4 separate regions of the Mus musculus genome follow, and regions 2, 3 and 4 are each reported to be linked to region 1. The links are microRNA targets in miRTarBase. Many come from high-throughput screens and were not tested one by one. Region 1 holds a microRNA gene; each other region holds the end of a gene's coding sequence.
The links. Region 1 holds the annotated microRNA mmu-miR-27a-3p (UUCACAGUGGCUAAGUUCCGC, at 1,665-1,685, opposite strand). A microRNA usually pairs through its seed, bases 2 to 8, with sites in the 3' UTR of a target mRNA and lowers its output. Matches are read on the target gene's strand: a 7mer-m8 pairs with bases 2 to 8, a 7mer-A1 pairs with bases 2 to 7 and ends in A, and an 8mer does both.

Region 1 (4,152 bases):
ACCGTTCTCTTGGAAGCTGTGTGTGTGTGTGTGTTGCCTCTGTGGGGCACTATGGGAGCTGGCTGTGACTATGAGTGTGGCCATAGTTCATGGTGCGTTCCTTTGCTCCAGGGAGCCGATCAGAGGCGATCCGCCCCTTAGCCCTTCTGGCGCAGACGGGCGCGCGCGCGTGCGTGCGTGCGTGCGTGTGTGTGTGTGTGTGTGTGTGTGTGTGTGTGTGTGTAGACGGGCGCGCGCGCGTGCGTGTGTGTGTGCATGCGCGCGTGTCTGTCTGTGCTCGCATATGTGCCCGTCCTTAAGCCCTGTGTGTGTGTGTGTGTGTGTGTGTGTGCATGCGCGCGTGTCTGTCTGTGCGCGCATATGTGCCCGTCCTTAAGCCCTGGCATCTTGCCAGTCAGTGCATCCCAGCATAGGCAGAGTACATTCTTGTAACATACTCCCTCATGGAACTGGGGTGACCACAGATTGGTCTCATACACCCCAGGTCTGGGTTATCCCTCCCGTTCAAGCCATCCCCAAAGGATCCCAGGATCTTCAGGTCGCAGCACCTACTGACCACAGAACTATATTTACACCTTCCTAGAAGCAGGTGGAGCAAGGTTGGGGATAGGTGCAATGCAGGTTAGGAGCCCAGGGTGTGGTAGATATAGTGGTGCAGCTGGTATTCCCAAACTCCAGACACTGGAGGAGTTTGATTCAAGGTCAGCCTGGTCTACACAGAAATGCTGTTTCAAGAGAAATGAAAAAAGCCAGCAACACACATGTGGGAGGCGGGAATGAAGAGACGTCAGCCCTTACGGAATGAGGCTGTGGAGCTTTTATTTAGTTGGAGAACAACATTCAATACAAGCTTTCAACTCTGTTCTTCCACCCAGGCTTCGATTTGCCCCTGCCCAGAGTAGGGAGAGGACACTGTATGGTCTGGGAAGTGTAACTCAGCCAGTTCCAATTAGTCTGCATGCAGTCTCATTTGTGGGTAGTAGGCAACTTTTTAACTTCCAAGCCTGGAGATTACTTCAACAGGCCAATGGGGGGGGGGGGCATGGATCTGTTCATATCCTGAGGCCTGTGTGGACCTCGCTCCCTGCCTCGCTGTCACCAGCAGAAAGCTGCAGACCCCATGGGATTGCTAGGCACACTGGATCAGGTCAGTGCCTTCTTCCGGAAGCAGAGAGTTGGCATTTAACCGTTAGAGGGCCTAAAGCAGCTTCCTCTTGGGTAACTGACTTCAAAGATGGTATGTATAAGGGGTGGTGCCTGAGCCCCACCAGACTTAGGAAAAGAAGGGCTTCCAGGCCCTGAGGGGACATAACTGGCTTTTAATGCAAGGGTTACCCGCCCATCTATCTGCTTTGGGGAACCACAGAAATCTCAAGGTGGACACCCAGATGCAGGCTTAGAGGCTGAGCCTCCAGCAGACAACGGGGCTTAGGTTGGACTAATTACCCCATTGTTTCCAGGTCTTGCTCACGGCAGACATTCTGCAGGGTTGCCAGCTCCTAGGGGGCTGGACTCCTGTTCCTGCTGAACTGAGCCAGTGCACTGGAATCAACTGTTTCAGCTCAGTAGGCACGGGAGGCGGAGCCCGGAGAGAGGCAGAGCCCTGCCAGCCAGGAGGCAGAGCAGGGTGGGCAGCAGCGGCCTGAGGAGATGGGGTCCAGGGGGCGGAACTTAGCCACTGTGAACACGACTTTGCTGTGGACCTTGCTCACAAGCAGCTAAGCCCTGCTCCTCAGGCCAGTTGTCATGATAGGCTTCTCTGTTACCCAGTACCCAAGACAGACATCCTTGGCGACAGGAGCCCCCAAGGCAGAGCACAGGGTCAGTTGGAAATCCCTGGCAATGTGATTTGTGACTGGCATCAAATCCCATCCCCAGGAACCCCAGCCGTCCGAGGCACAGTGAGGGGGGCAGCAGGTGGGAGCGGAGTGTAGCACCTAAAGAGAGAAAGAAGAGACAGTGAGATTGGAGCATTCTTGCTTGCCTGCCTATCTTGACCAGGCTGGGTCTCACATAGCTGAACACAAGGTTTCCGAATGCACCAGTTCTTCCTGCCTCTACCTCTGGAGTCTAGGATTATAGGTACACCTCACCACACACAGTTTAAGTGGTGCTGGGGACAGAATCTAAACTCAGCTTGCTGATCCACACCCTAGCCCTCCTCTACTTCCAAGAGGGAAGAAGCATTCCCAAAAAAGAGGAGCATCGATCCGTAGGAAGGTTGGAGCGAGGCTGCTGGATGCTGGGCACCCAGCAGTGCCTCTACCCCAGCCCTACAAAGCGGGAGGTGCCTGAAGCCCTAAGGCCAAAGGGGCTGCAGAGCCTTCCCAGCTGCTTCCCACTCTGCTTCTATCCCCACCCACAGCCCTGAGCCCAAAGCAGGCCAAATGGGGCCATGGAGAGGAAGCTGAGGGAGGTGGACGGTTGGAGGGAGGAAGTGACCTCACCCCAGCTGGCGCCACTTCCTAGAAGCCTGAAGGGCAGGAGGAAACTCCAGGGCCTCCCACCTCAGCCCTCTCCTCCCCAGCCAGCTCAGACATAACCCCACCCCCACCCCACACCACCTAGGGCCCAAGCAAGGAGAAGCAGGCCGATGCACCCCAACAATAACACCTCAGTAAAGTTTCCCCTAGGCCTTCCAAGCCTCAGTTTCCCCATCTGTAAAGCAGACTACAACAGTTGCAGTTGGTGGCTCACGTTTATCTCAGCATTGAGGAAACTGAGGCAGGAAGGTTGCCAAGAATGGAGTCAAAAGCCTGCTTAAGCTACATGATGAGTTTTAGGCCTAACTGGGCTACAGTTTGAGACCCTAGTCTTAAATAGAAGAAAAACAAAAATAAAACAACAAAACCCCAAACCTTCTACTAGGAAGGCCAGTGAAAACTTACAGAGAAGGTATTTAGCACCCAGTACCAGGGCAAGCCACAAAATTTGGGGCCTACCCAATGTAGAGTAGTGTCCTGCGTGCCAGTTAAAGTTTTCAGGGGCCAGCAAGCTGATCCAGCAAGTGAGCAGAGCTGCTATGGAGCCCAATGCCCTGAGCTCAAACCCAAGAACCACGAAGAAGAAAAGCATACGGACCCTTGCAAGTTGTCCTCTGATCTCTGCACTTGGGAACACACACACACAATTTTTAAAAATTGTTTAAAGAATTTCAATGTTGGAGAGATGACAGGTTTCTTTCCCAGAACCTACATGACAAGCACAGCTATCTATAGCTCCATTCCCAAGAGCTCCAACGCTCCCCACTGGCCCCTGTGGGTACCAGGCATACATATGGTGCACAGACGTACGCGTAAGCAAACATTCACAAACAGACAATAAAAATAAACTTAAGAATGGTGGTGCACACTGTTAGTCCCAGCACTTGAAAGGCAAAGGAAAGCAAGAACCAGGCCTTGGACAGTACTATCTCTAAGAGTTCAAGGCCAGCTTGGTCTGTGTAGGGAGTTTCAGACCATCCAGGGCTACATAGTGACACAAGTGACCTTGTTTCAGATAAAGAGCTGACTCAGTGGTTAAGAGTGGCTACTGCTCTTGCAGAGGGCCCGAGTTTGGATCTCAGCACCTGTCACAACTACCTGTAACTCCAGCTTCTGGGGATTTCACTCCCTCTTCTGGTCTCTGAGTGTACTGCACTGTCATGCACAAAGACCAGACAACACACACACACACACACACACACACACACACACACACACACACACGTCTTCTTTATAAAACATCAGGGTCGGGCTGGTGAGATGGCTCAGTTGGTAAGAGCACCCGACTGCTCTTCCGAAGGTCCGGAGTTCAAATCCCAGCAACCACATGGTGGCTCAAAACCATCTGTAACGAGATCTGACTCCCTCTTCTGGAGTGTCTGAAGACAGCTACAGTGTACTTACATATAATAAATAAATAAATCTTAAAAAAAAAAAAAAAAACATCAGGGTCTTCAGTGATAGGTCAATCAATAAAGTGGTCACCATGTAAGCAAAAGGGCTTGTGTTGTCCCCAGGTATGGCAATTCACACTTGTAATTCCAGAGCTGGGGAAGGGAAGCCACAAGATGCTCTAGGGCTCACCACCAGCCCGCCTCACCAGCTCCATGTCCCAGTAAGACACCTTCTCTGAGAAAACAAGGTTGGAGCTAGAGAGATGGCTCAGTGG
Region 2 (4,000 bases), not on the chromosome of region 1:
GGTGTTTCCAACATGGTGGCGATCCACGCGGCCGTGTCGGGCCTCTCGGTGGAGGAGGTGGTGCGCAGTAGCGCAGGCTTGGACACTGCACGCTACAAGCTGCTAGTGGCCGATGCTGTGATTGAGAAATTTGCTCCAATCAGGAAGGAGATTGAGAAATTGAAAATGGATAAGGACCACTTAAGAAAGGTTTTACTTGTTGGATCTGCAAAAGCCAAAGAATTGGCCTCTCCTGTGTTCGAGGAGGTGAAGAAGTTGGTGGGGATTCTGTAGCAAGGTCAGCCAGTCACTGCACTCAAGTCAAGGCAGCTTTCCTCCCACAGATTTTAGCCTGTCCAAATTCAATTGAGTGTGATGATCAGCTGCATTTGATGACTGCTGTCAATTGAGCAACGTTCCAATCCCTGAGGCAGGCACAGCTCTTCCACTCCAGTTCAATGACACACAGTTTTTTGGTCTGAAGTATTCCCGAAAACGTGAACAATTACTGAGCCATGGCGTGTGCTTGCTTGTGCAGTATTTACTGTGCAGGTGCACTTTGTCTGTGTTGTGCAGACAGGTCCTATGCTGCAATCCTGAATCCAGTGGGTATTTGCAGTTCATAAAGAGAGGTTCATTCTTGCAGCTCATGTGATGATGATGTGATGATGTTTATCCTCATGTATTGGAATGACTTGACTTGTGCTAGCAAGGTGGCTCGGGCTCAAGGTACCTGCTGCCAAGCTGAATAGCTGGAGCTCAATCCACAGGGCCAGCATGGTGGAAGGAGAAACTGACTGGCAGGTTGTCCTCTGACCTCCGCTTGTCTGCCATGGTATGAGTACACACACACACACACATGCGCGCCTAAGTAAAAATACAATAACCTACTTGTTTCTTAAAAGGCACACACTGACTTACTTATTTCAGCAAATGTCTGTACTTAAGTGATCCAGGAGGTCATTGGAGAGCATTATATTGCTTCAGTTCCATCTATTTATTATACAGGGCCTGTGTTCCTGGTTGTATTCATAATAAGCACTTCTATTTTTACATTCATCTCAGTTTAGTCTCACCAAACCCTACCTCTGTGGAACACATAGGAACTGAGGGGTAGAACATGGAATTAGCTGTACAGTGTCACTAAGTAAATAAGAAGCAAGTCCAAGAGTGAAGGCCTAGCTCCCCTGCTTCCAAGACTGGTGCTTTTTAAGACTTCTCCCAAAGCTCTGAGGGCCAAAGTTTTGGACCTCTAAACATTCCAGTATTCAGTTTGGATACTGAAAAGATAAAGGCTGAAATACTGATTTTTGTTTATGTGAACTCAGCTAATGGTTGTGTATTTTAAATCTGGATCCAGCCACCTCTGGTCACACTTACCTTTCAAAACCCCAAAAATGGGTCCCATGGCCTCACTTCCAAATTCATGCTGGAGATGCCTGCTTGTCTCGGCCAGATTCCAGTGGGAGCGAAGTCTAAAGCATCTGACGTTTCCAGTGAAGGGAAGCTTCCCGTCTCAGCCTGCCTCAGGCTCTGTGAAATCACAGAGTATAGCTCTGCACGTCCATGTTCACAGCTGAAACGAATGGCAGTCCTGGCTTACATCCCAAGGCCTGTATCAAGATTGATTTTGCAGGGCCAGCAAGATGGCTCAGCAGAAAAGGGCTCCTTTTGTGAAGCAAGCCTGACTATGTGAGTTCAATCCCTGAGATCCATGTGATAAATAAAGGAGAGAACCAACTCCTCAACGTTGTACTGTGACTTACACACACACACACACACACACACACACACACACACACCACAATGAAATGCACAGGACTACCCACACACAAAAATAAATAAATGTTTACTTTTAATGTTAAGGTTGAGTTCACCTCGATTGTCACATAGAATTGGAAGTAGGAGACACTGTATCCCAGAGTCCAGATTAAAACACCAACTAGGTTCGGGAAAAGGGTACATTTTACTTTTGGGGGGGGTGCATGTTGTTTTCTTAATTCATTTATTTATTAGTGTATGTGTTTGAATGGGTGAGATCATGCTAAGGTGTGTCTGTCACGGTTGGAGGATGATTAGTGGGGTCCGGTTCTCTCCTTCCACCACGTAGGTTCTGGGACTCGAGCTCAGGTCATCAGGCACACTTTCCCGTTGGGCCAGTTAGTTTTATCTTTTGCACCTTAGTGGGAGATGTCTGCAGTCTGAGAGCATCACTGAGTGTATTTCTTTTAAAGATCTTTTTTACTTTCCTTTCGTTTTATCTGTTTGCATTTGTGTGTGTATGTGTGCGCGCGCGCACGTGCGCATGCATGCATGCCACAAAACATGTGTGATGTCAGAGGACAGTGCAAAAGCTGGCTTTCTTCCACCAGGTAGATTCCAGGGTTCAAACTCAGGCTGTCCGGCTTAGCAGCAGGCACCCCTGCCTACTGAGGCAGCCCACCAGTACCTTTTCACCTTCCTTTTAAAGAAATCTATTAGGAATACTGGGAATTGTATCTACCAGGCCAATTGCCTGTTTAGCTCTGTGGTCTCTACCTCCTAGCAATGCTTCTGTCTAGCAAGAACTAAAGGCAATAGGAAAAGATCTCCAAAAAAAAAGAAAAAGTGTAAAAGAGAGGGGGAGGGAACAAAAAACACAAAAACACTAGAACAGGATAACGTCTAAGGAACAGGGTCAGTGCATTCTGTTATGTAAGACTCTTACTGCAGAAAATCTAAATTTGCCATATAATTAAGATTCTTGCTCAATCAATGTATTAAAGTTCCCCAGGGAAACAAGCCCAATAGGACACATAGAAACAAAAGAGAGTGGGCTGAAGAGATGGCTCAGGGGTTAAGAGCATTAGCTGCTCTTCCAGTGGTCATGAGTTCAATTCCTAGCAACCACATGGTGGCTCACAACCATCTGTAATGGAATCTGATGCCCTCTTCTGGTGTGTCTGAAGAGAGCAACAGTATACTCACATACATAAAATAAATAAATAAATGGTAAGTTCTGAGAGACAGAGAGACAGAGAGGAGAGGAAGTTAGTTTACCAGGGGCTGGAGCATGGCTCAGTGACCAATGGCATGAAGTTTTTTTCCCAGCACTCATGTTGGGCAGCCCACAACTGCCTGCAAATGCCAGCACTAAGGGGTCAGATATCTCTGGCTTTAGCATGCACCTGTATTCACATAACTAAAAATTACACACTTAAAATAATAACAATTTGCCATATGGATTGGGTCACACTATTACAAGGACTGGGAGAAAACATAGCATGCTGTCTTTAACCTGGAGACTCAGGACAGCAGCGTAATCCAGACCAGACTTAAAGGCTAACTTGTCAGTGGTGCATAGTCAGTTCAAGGAATTCAGAGCCAAGAGACTGGACAGGGACTCCTGTGCAAGTCCCGGAGTCTGGGAACCATAAACTATGACATTCCAAGATGGGTCAGCTCAAGGAAAGAACAAACTGGCCTTTCCCACATTTTTGAGGCGGCCCCTTGATGGATTGGTTAGGACCTGCTAACATTGACAAGGATAAGTCTTCATTTACTGACTCAGTGTCCAATCTTTTCTAGAAATACCCTCAGACAACCCCCCTGAAAAAAAGTAAAATTAAAAAAGAAAAGGTTTCACTAGCTATCTGTTACACCCTGTCGCCTCAGAAGCTGAGAGCAAAGGCTGCATACAGCCTAGTGTGCCTCTTCACCCCTTCCCATTGTTGTTTACAGGCCCAGCAGGTTGTTTTTTTCTTGAGACAGGGGCTCTACATAACCCAGGCTGTACTGGTCTACTGTGTAGACCAGGTTAGCTTTGAACTGATAGAGCTCCTCTGCCTTCTGGATGCTGAGATTAATGGAGTGTACCACCATGCTGGCCCAAGAATAAATAAATGTGTGTGTGTGTGTGTGTGTGTGTGTGTGTGTGTGTGTAGAGTTAGAAATACAAACAACTGACAACTATGGTTGACTTCAAAAGGAAAATTTTATTGTTATTTCCTATTAGCTCTATAGAGAATGGAAATGTAAAAAT
Region 3 (4,000 bases), not on the chromosome of region 1:
TCTGCACCATAGGAATGATTGCGATTAGTAGGATGGCTGTGCTGTACCCTCAGGTTATTGTCGACCATCCATTTCTCTATCTTATCAGGAACAGGAAATCTGGTAAGTGTTTTATGTGAATACAACATTATTTCACAAGCCACAAAGAAGCTATTTTTAAATTATATATTATATTATATAAATATATATATCTAGGATGTATGTATGTCTATATATGTGTCTCTATATATGTATGTATATATGTATATATATATATATAGAGAGAGAATCCTATATAGACATATATAGAGACATATATATATTTAAGATTATTTCCAATGTTCTTATGTTTTTAAAAAATCAAAATAATGTGTATTTCTACTTTTCCAAACATTGCTTCCAGGAAATATAGGTCTCATGGTTTTCTTTCCTCTTCTGTTCATTTCCAAACCAATCCAGGCATAATCTTATTCATGGGACGAGTCATGAACCCTGAAACAATGAATACAAGTGGCCATGACTTTGAGGAACTTTAAATGACGACGTTTGAGTACAAAGAAAGCAGGAACAAAGCACATTATGTTTGCAAGTGGTATATATTTAGGATTTCTGTTTTATAGTGTTACTTAGGGAAATATTTAAATAGTTCTGGATAGTAGTAATCCATGTGACCTATAAGTTAGCCTGTCAAAAGCTGTTATCAGTATAAAGAGTATGGTCCCATTGTGTCATTGTGTCTGGTGTGCTGCTGTTTAAAATAAAAGTACATATTGAAACTGTGAACCACTTTTTTTCATTTTGAAAGTAGTTGTAGTCTATACAATACTATGTCTGAGATTTGAAACCTATGCTGTTTCTTTAGGAATTGTAGTAAAATGATCCTACAAGGCAAAATGTAGAAACTGTTGTTTCTGAGTTTCTTCATAATCATGCAGAATCAAACACCAAAGTAAGCAACATACATATATATATATAATAAGCAATACTGTGAAGGGGAGGCCAAAAGGCCAGAGAAATTGAGATTGTTATTTAGTGTGGCATTCCATGACAAAAGATTTAGGAGGAAATGTGGGATATGTAAGACCCATAGATGTATATTTTGTATATACTGTAGTATTATACTTTTAATTTATTAAAGTATAACTCTTTTATTTATTTTTAAAAGTTTCCTGTGAACCAATATGCCACATGACTCTACTAGCAAGTTCAGATATCTCATTAGCTATTCTGGATGACATCAAGAGGCCTCATGGAGGGAATCCCGTGTACCATTTACGTTTTAGTGATTTTTTGTGATGTTCACACAAAGATGAAATCACATTGTTGCACACTCTCTAGACTATATCCAAGAAAGGCATCAAGTGGTACATTGGTGTGCCAGGAAAATAGATGTAATTACTTTATTAAAAAAGTTCCTGGTATTGTGCATCATATGGAATCAGTGCTGCTTAAACTTAGTACGTCCTGCTGACACCTGGTCACTTATTACAAATATAGGTTCTTATCCAGGATGTCTAAGGTAGAGTGGGAACCACAGCTTTCTATCATTACTGACATCCAAATGATGCCGCAGATATCTGACCATAGCCTTTGCTGAGAGTCCCTTGGGTTGCAATGTCGTACTTGAAGTCAGCCTCACATTTTCACAGACTGAGATTGGAGAGATGAGGGTGCAGGGAGGAGATAATCTACACTAGTGATACGATGCCTTTGTCAAGCACTGGTGTGATCTCGAAGTATTTCTAGTACACACTCTAGATAAATTCTTCTGTACATTACAACACTTGAAATGCAGTCGTTAAAAATATGGAGACATTTATAGGCAATACCCATGAAAGAATTTATGACTATCCGAGGACACAGTACTTAACAATGAATCTTTTACAGCTTATATTTTCAGAGGACTTGTAGTTTATTCATAAATCTTCATGTTATTGTACAATAGTGCTCTTGTTTTCATTTATAATTTATGAAGCTGAGATGCCTGGTGTTAATTCAGTGTTCACATTCTCTGCTAAGAACAGTCTTTATCTCTGTATCCTTCTTGTTAATATGACATCTATAGCTATATCTATATGTTCATTAGTTAAACAAATGTATGGCCTGTAAGGAAGAATAAACATTATTATGCAATCATGTGATTATGTGATGTCCCAAATGTTAATTTTTATTAAAAATAGATATAAGATTTAATTCTTGGAACTTTTAATCTTAAAATATTTCAATATGTGTATAAGTTAGGTGTTACTTAGTTGAAAATGGATGTCTTGTACTGGCAGAAAAGCTAGAAAAAATAATTTACAATACCAAGCTTTTCTTTGTATTAATTTAGTATTTCTCTCTCTCTCTCTCTCTCTCTCTCTCTCTCTCTCTCTCTCTCTCTCTCTCTCTGTGTGTGTGTGTGTGTGTGTGTGTGTGTGTGTGTGTGTGTGTGTGTGTGTATACCAGAACACAGACATCCATATGCCACAGGATGTATGTGAAGGCAGAGGACAAATGCCAGAGATTGATTGCCTCTTTCCAACTTGGAATCCCAGAATCTCACTTGAATCATCAGGGTCGTACATCAAGGACTTGGACCCATGGGGCCATCTCCCTGACCTTCAAGTTTTTCTTTTGTTTGGACTTGGCTTTTAATTTCAATACTTTTCTTTCTCTTGAAAAACTAGCATTTCATATTTCCTAATTGTTTTATTCTCTTTACAATGAATCATTACTATAAGTACAAATACACATGTGCATACACACACAAGCACACACACACACATTGTGCATAGAAAGGACTTTTATTCTACGAACTTATGTTTGAGAGGAAATCAACAACCATTCTGAAGTTTTTGATAGTAACTGAATTTAGTTATTCATGTGTATGCAACAGACTGGAATGGATAATTATAGACTCTGATCTATTTTAATATCACCATCAAGTCCAAACAAATACTAAAAGTATTATTTATGTGTTTACTTAAATACTCAAGACATTCATTTTATAAGAACAATGAAAATCAGAAGAAAATACAGTAAAGAACATACTTCCTATTCATTAGATATGCATCTTATACAGAACACAATTCAGTGATTTTTTTATATATAGTCAGTTTCTTGAATTTATAATGATAGTCATTTTTTTCTTATCTGAAAATCTATCTTGGTTTTTCTCTAAAACAAGAATAATGGCAGCATTTTATTTAATAGCTTCAGGCAAGTTAAACCAGTTGAAACTTGTCTTTTTGAAGTAAAGATCTTTTCTGCAATCTTGAGCAAAGATAAAATACAATTCAAAAAAAAAAAAAAAGAAAAGAAAGAAAAGGAAAAATATTGGTGAAAACTCTGCAACTTTGCCTTAAGCTCAGAGCCTCATGGTCATGGTCCATCTTCTAAAGCAGACCCAATGCAAGATTCTTTAGTTAAATGATTAATCTGCAGAATTTGCTAAGGTAGAGGAAACATTCTACGTAAGTCCCAAGGCTGCCAGTAGCTTCAAGGAAAGCTAAATGGCCTCTTAATGTTCTCGAGCACGTTAAAAAGTTACATAAATAGAAGTAATATTATACTGACTGAGCAAGTTGTACTTGGAAATATATATGTATATACATATGTATGTATTTGCTCAATAAGAATTAATTGAAAAAAGAGGCTAAGAATTTGAGGGGAAAGAAATGTGGTAATTACATTATAATCTCAAAGAAATTCTTGAAATAAACTTAAAACAAATCTCCAGTTGACTAAAGCAACAATTAAAAAGAATTTCCAGGATTGAGTGACCATGGGTCCAAATAGTCCAACTCAGTTCTTCATCTATGAAAACTGATTGAATCATTAAGAGTGTATGACAGAGGGGAAACTAGGAAAGGGGATAACATTTGAAATGAAAATAAAGATATATATATATGTATATATATACATATATATATATATATATATATATATATATATATATATATATAGAGAGAGAGAGAGAGAGAGAGAGAGAGAGAGAGAGAGAGAGAGAAAGAGAGAGATTCTGATCCCAACAAGACCA
Region 4 (4,000 bases), not on the chromosome of region 1:
TTCACTGACTACTCCCAGGACTTTCCCAACTCCCTCCCGTTAGCCCCACACCTTCCTGTCCTTTATCAATGAACTGGATTCAGAAAATAACACACACACACACAAACTCTTCAAAAAGAACATAAAACTTTATTAGGATCTTACACTGTCATCAGATACAGCCAAAGAAAAGGGTTTATAAAAGATGGAGTATCCTTTTTCCATGTGCTCTTGACACGGCAGACTAGATGGCAACAGATGCTGTGTATACACAAATCCATTAAGTAACCCAGTGTTCCCTTCTGTACAGAGAAGAACTGAATTCACACCGTCAAAAGCTTTTTCTAGCACAACTGAGAAGCAGGGCTCATCTCTAGGAGGAACTCCTAATAGCTAGTACAATTAATAGCTAGTGTCGGGCTTTTGCATGACTTCAGAGTGGGGACTGAGGAAGGCCCTCCTACCTCCCAGTCACTGTCCTCTCCAGACTCCAGACCAGTTCATGAACCACACACCACAAAGCTACTCACAGCAGTGACAGCAGACAACATCCTCTGAACTGTGAAAATCATGAAGGGTGGATCATCGTAGTTTTTGTTAATGCTACGGGATTTCTTACAGAGAAACCCTGATTCAGAACGCTGTGAGCAGCTATCACAGCAGCTACAGGCAGGACGGCCTTCCTCGGGGAAGGCCGGCTACAGAGCTCAGCTCCTCTCCAGACTCCCCGCTCCCCTACGGCTCATTTACTTACTGTAGTATTGTAGGAGCAGAGGGAGCACCGGGAATCTGCTCAAATTGCCACTCCGACAGCTCTCTGCACTGTTTGTGGAAAAAAGAGGAATGGTGTCCATTCACAGCACAGGACCTTGCTACAATGTGACATACTTTCCCTTGAGGGCCAGACCAGGTTGCTCTCATACTTGTAATTTGCCTCCGGTACATGGGAGAGAAAATGTGCATGATTTACAGCTTGGTATTTTATACCCCTCACCTAGGCCCATTTCTTTTTTTCTTTTTCTTACTGCAGAGTCTCACTCATGTAACTAATGGCATTGATCTCACTCTACAGACCAGGCTGGCCTTCACAGAGATCCTCCTGCCTCTGCCTCCCAAGTACTGAAATTAAAGGCATGAACCACCACACCTGGTTTAAGCCCATTAAGTTTAGTCTTCCTTTCAGAAAGGAACATTAACGACTGTAAGGCTGAAAAACTTACTTCTAGAACAAACTGTACAGTCTGTTCAATTAGTGAGCTAACCAACAACTTGTGGTTTGGGGATTCGGGTTTTGAGTACTAGCATTTATCACAGATCTCATCACGCTCTTTAAAAAAATAATACATTTTATCATAAATATTTAGATCAGATAGTGGCATCAAAAGAGTATCTAAGTCTGTCTTCATGGTGAAAATATTTCAGGAAACTTCTAAAAGAGTTTATATCTTCCCAAGAGTATACCATTTATAAGTTAGTTTTAAATGGAAAAGTATCTAGTTTAGATGGATAAATCACTGTGTCAGCAAATCATAAATAAGTTTAAGATACTGAAAATAAGTTAACACACAAAGCTTTTGCTTTCCAAAACAACAAAAACTTACTTGGCATACTTTCAAAACAGGCATAATCAGGGTATGTAATGTGCATCTCCTTTGCTGACTCTTTCTTAGATCACTACCCCTAAGGAAAGGATAGCAGCACTGGCAGCCACCCCAGTGTGAAGGTCTGGCTGCTGCACACAAACCCTTATTTGACAGACAAACGCTGCTCAGGATGTGCGAGAGCCACTTGTCAGCTCATTACAAGCATATCCGAGGTCCAGTGGTTTGGGCTTCCAGTTGAGCTTCAGCGGTGTGCACAGAGAACAGCTATAGCTTCTGTGAGGAAATGTGTCCTAATTCCCAAAAGTTGTCATTGGAAGATAGAACATTCATGGGACGGGGTGATGCCATACATGTAACTCTGTTTTGGAGAAAGGCCAGTGTTTAAAGCACTGTTCCCAAATCTACTGGCTATTAAAGAAAATTACCTGTCATTTCTTCACATGGAAATTCATTTCAACTATATCCTCTAATACTGAGAAAGAAACAGTGAAGCCATTCAGAGTAGTGAGTATAACTGGCCTGTGAAATCTAAAAGGTGTCCTACAAACTATTCACTTGGACTCCGATTACATGAGAAATGCAAAGCAATAAAGGAGAAAAACATCTCCCTCTGCCATCATGAAACACAAACCTGCAGCTTCACAGTGGAACTTAAGAGAAAGCTGGAGAGCATGCACCTGCTCTAACACACCAGGTTCAAGTACAGATAAAGGTACATTTGCTGTGTATTTACACCTGTAAACAGACAAATATAAAACTCACCACATCTACCCTGTAGTACAGCATTGCTTAATTCCAAAATATAATCATTCAAAAACATTACAGAAATAAACTGTTTCGGGCTGCGTAATTGAGCACTATGGGTACTGAGTTGTTGAGCTGCTCAGGCTAAGAGCTACGTTTACATGACATGGGCAGGGATTAAGCACTGGGACTGTGTCGCTGCCTGGTGTTCCCTTTACACCCCACAGCTGGTGTTTTGTTAAAGGGATCTGATGTAAGAAGACTGACGACAGAAGCAGTCAGCTGGAGAGCTGGAGTTGTGCTCATTAGGACAGCAGAACTTACAACATTCGTAAAGCATTAACTGCACTTAGTCTAAATAGTGCGATCCAGGGAGTGTCTAGTTAACAGACCTTCGATCCTGGGATGGCATTTGAGATGGAACTACTATAGTACTACCGGGGAACCTTCTCTAGGCTTTATTTGACCCTGCACGGCATCCATGTCTAGTGTTAAACTCGAAAGGCATGAGGACACACAGAACCAGTATTTGGGTGGCAAGAGTAAGGTGAAGTTGAAACATTTAGTCTCTTCTATAATCAAGCTCTAACGATCCCATAAACAGTCTCACATCAGCTCCTGATCAGTTCTTCCCATTAGGAATTAGATAGTGTACAGTGATTAGATACTGAAAAAAAATAAAGAAAAGTAATTGAAAATACATGAAGAAATAGAAACATGGAATTTCTCACAAGGCCTTGGATCAAAAAAAAAACTTACAAAAGATTTTTTTGAAAATAATCATTAAGTTCATTAATACACAGAAATCATCACTTGGTTTTAACTAAGTCATGTTAACTCACTAATAAAATAGCAAAACAAACCAACATTTTAACATTTTATACTTCCTTGTCATTTCTTATGTTAGTACCATTCTCAACAATGTACAAAAATAACTCTACAGGACTATTCACCTAACCTGTCTCCATGTCTGCCAAAGTCCTGGCCCTGGAGGAGACTGGCCATCAGTCTTCACTGTAGATGTCCCCCGCAAAGGGCAGGTGCATGTGACTGCCAGTGACATTGGGCAAACGAGATAAATCTGGCAGGCTCTGGATCCGGGCTCTTAGTTCTTTGCGTACCAGGGAAACTCGGGCTAACTTGCGCTTGTATTCCTGCAACAACAAACCACTCGTTAGCTTTCATGTTGAAAAAGCAGTCTAGCTTTCTGCTGATTCTCTGCAGAATTTTGTATTATTCAGCCACTGGCAAATAAATGATCATTCCATTGTGAGTTTGAGTCAAATGGGCTACAGAGGTAGTAGAGAGCAGTAAAAGTACATAATAGCCATGCAATTAAATATCACGATGTGTGTCTTTTCTATTTTTGTTGTTGTGTTTTGTTTTTTTTGAGACAGGGTTTCTCTGTGTAGCCCTGGCTGTCCTGGAACTCACTCTGTAGACCAGGCTGGCCTCGAACTCAGAAAATCGCCTGCCTCTGCCTCCCAAGAGCTGGGATTAAAGGTGTGTACCACCACCACCCGGCTAGTGTGTATTTTCTTTTTTTTTTTTTTTTTTTCCATTTTTTATTAGGTATTTAGCTCATTTACATTTCCAATGCTATACCAAAAGTCCCCCATATCCACCCACCCCCACTCCCCTGCCCACCTACTCCCCCTTTTTGGCCCTGGTGT

Region 2: miRTarBase lists Wars2 as a target of mmu-miR-27a-3p. Seed matches in the 3' UTR shown: 7mer-A1 at 1,513-1,519 and 7mer-m8 at 1,734-1,740.
Region 3: the mRNA of Serpini1 is a reported target of mmu-miR-27a-3p. Seed matches in the 3' UTR shown: 8mer at 755-762, 8mer at 964-971 and 7mer-A1 at 1,149-1,155.
Region 4: the mRNA of Rprd1a is a reported target of mmu-miR-27a-3p. Seed matches in the 3' UTR shown: 8mer at 2,222-2,229, 7mer-A1 at 1,064-1,070 and 7mer-A1 at 833-839.

Annotation. Positions count from the first base shown.
Region 1 is chr8:84,206,260-84,210,411 of GRCm38, reverse strand. It overlaps Mir27a (microRNA 27a), which reads right to left and starts at 1,740; the gene lies at 1,654-1,740. It overlaps Mir23a (microRNA 23a), which reads right to left and starts at 1,894; the gene lies at 1,820-1,894. Mir24-2 (microRNA 24-2) reads right to left here and starts at 1,597; the gene lies at 1,491-1,597. Mir3074-2 (microRNA 3074-2) reads left to right here and starts at 1,505; the gene lies at 1,505-1,587.
Region 2 is chr3:99,216,635-99,220,634 of GRCm38, forward strand. It overlaps Wars2 (tryptophanyl tRNA synthetase 2 (mitochondrial)), which reads left to right. Exons shown (of 6, transcript NM_027462.4): 6 at 1-3,569. The coding sequence ends at 273. Among named protein-coding and RNA genes, the nearest start is that of Gm38468, 18 kb to the right of the region's middle.
Region 3 is chr3:75,640,237-75,644,236 of GRCm38, forward strand. It overlaps Serpini1 (serine (or cysteine) peptidase inhibitor, clade I, member 1), which reads left to right. Exons shown (of 9, transcript NM_009250.3): 8 at 13-102; 9 at 439-2,287. The coding sequence ends at 515. Among named protein-coding and RNA genes, the nearest start is that of Platr10, 13 kb to the right of the region's middle.
Region 4 is chr18:24,484,851-24,488,850 of GRCm38, forward strand. Rprd1a (regulation of nuclear pre-mRNA domain containing 1A) reads right to left here. Exons shown (of 7, transcript NM_144861.2): 7 at 112-3,481. The coding sequence ends at 3,332. Among named protein-coding and RNA genes, the nearest start is that of 2700062C07Rik, 16 kb to the left of the region's middle.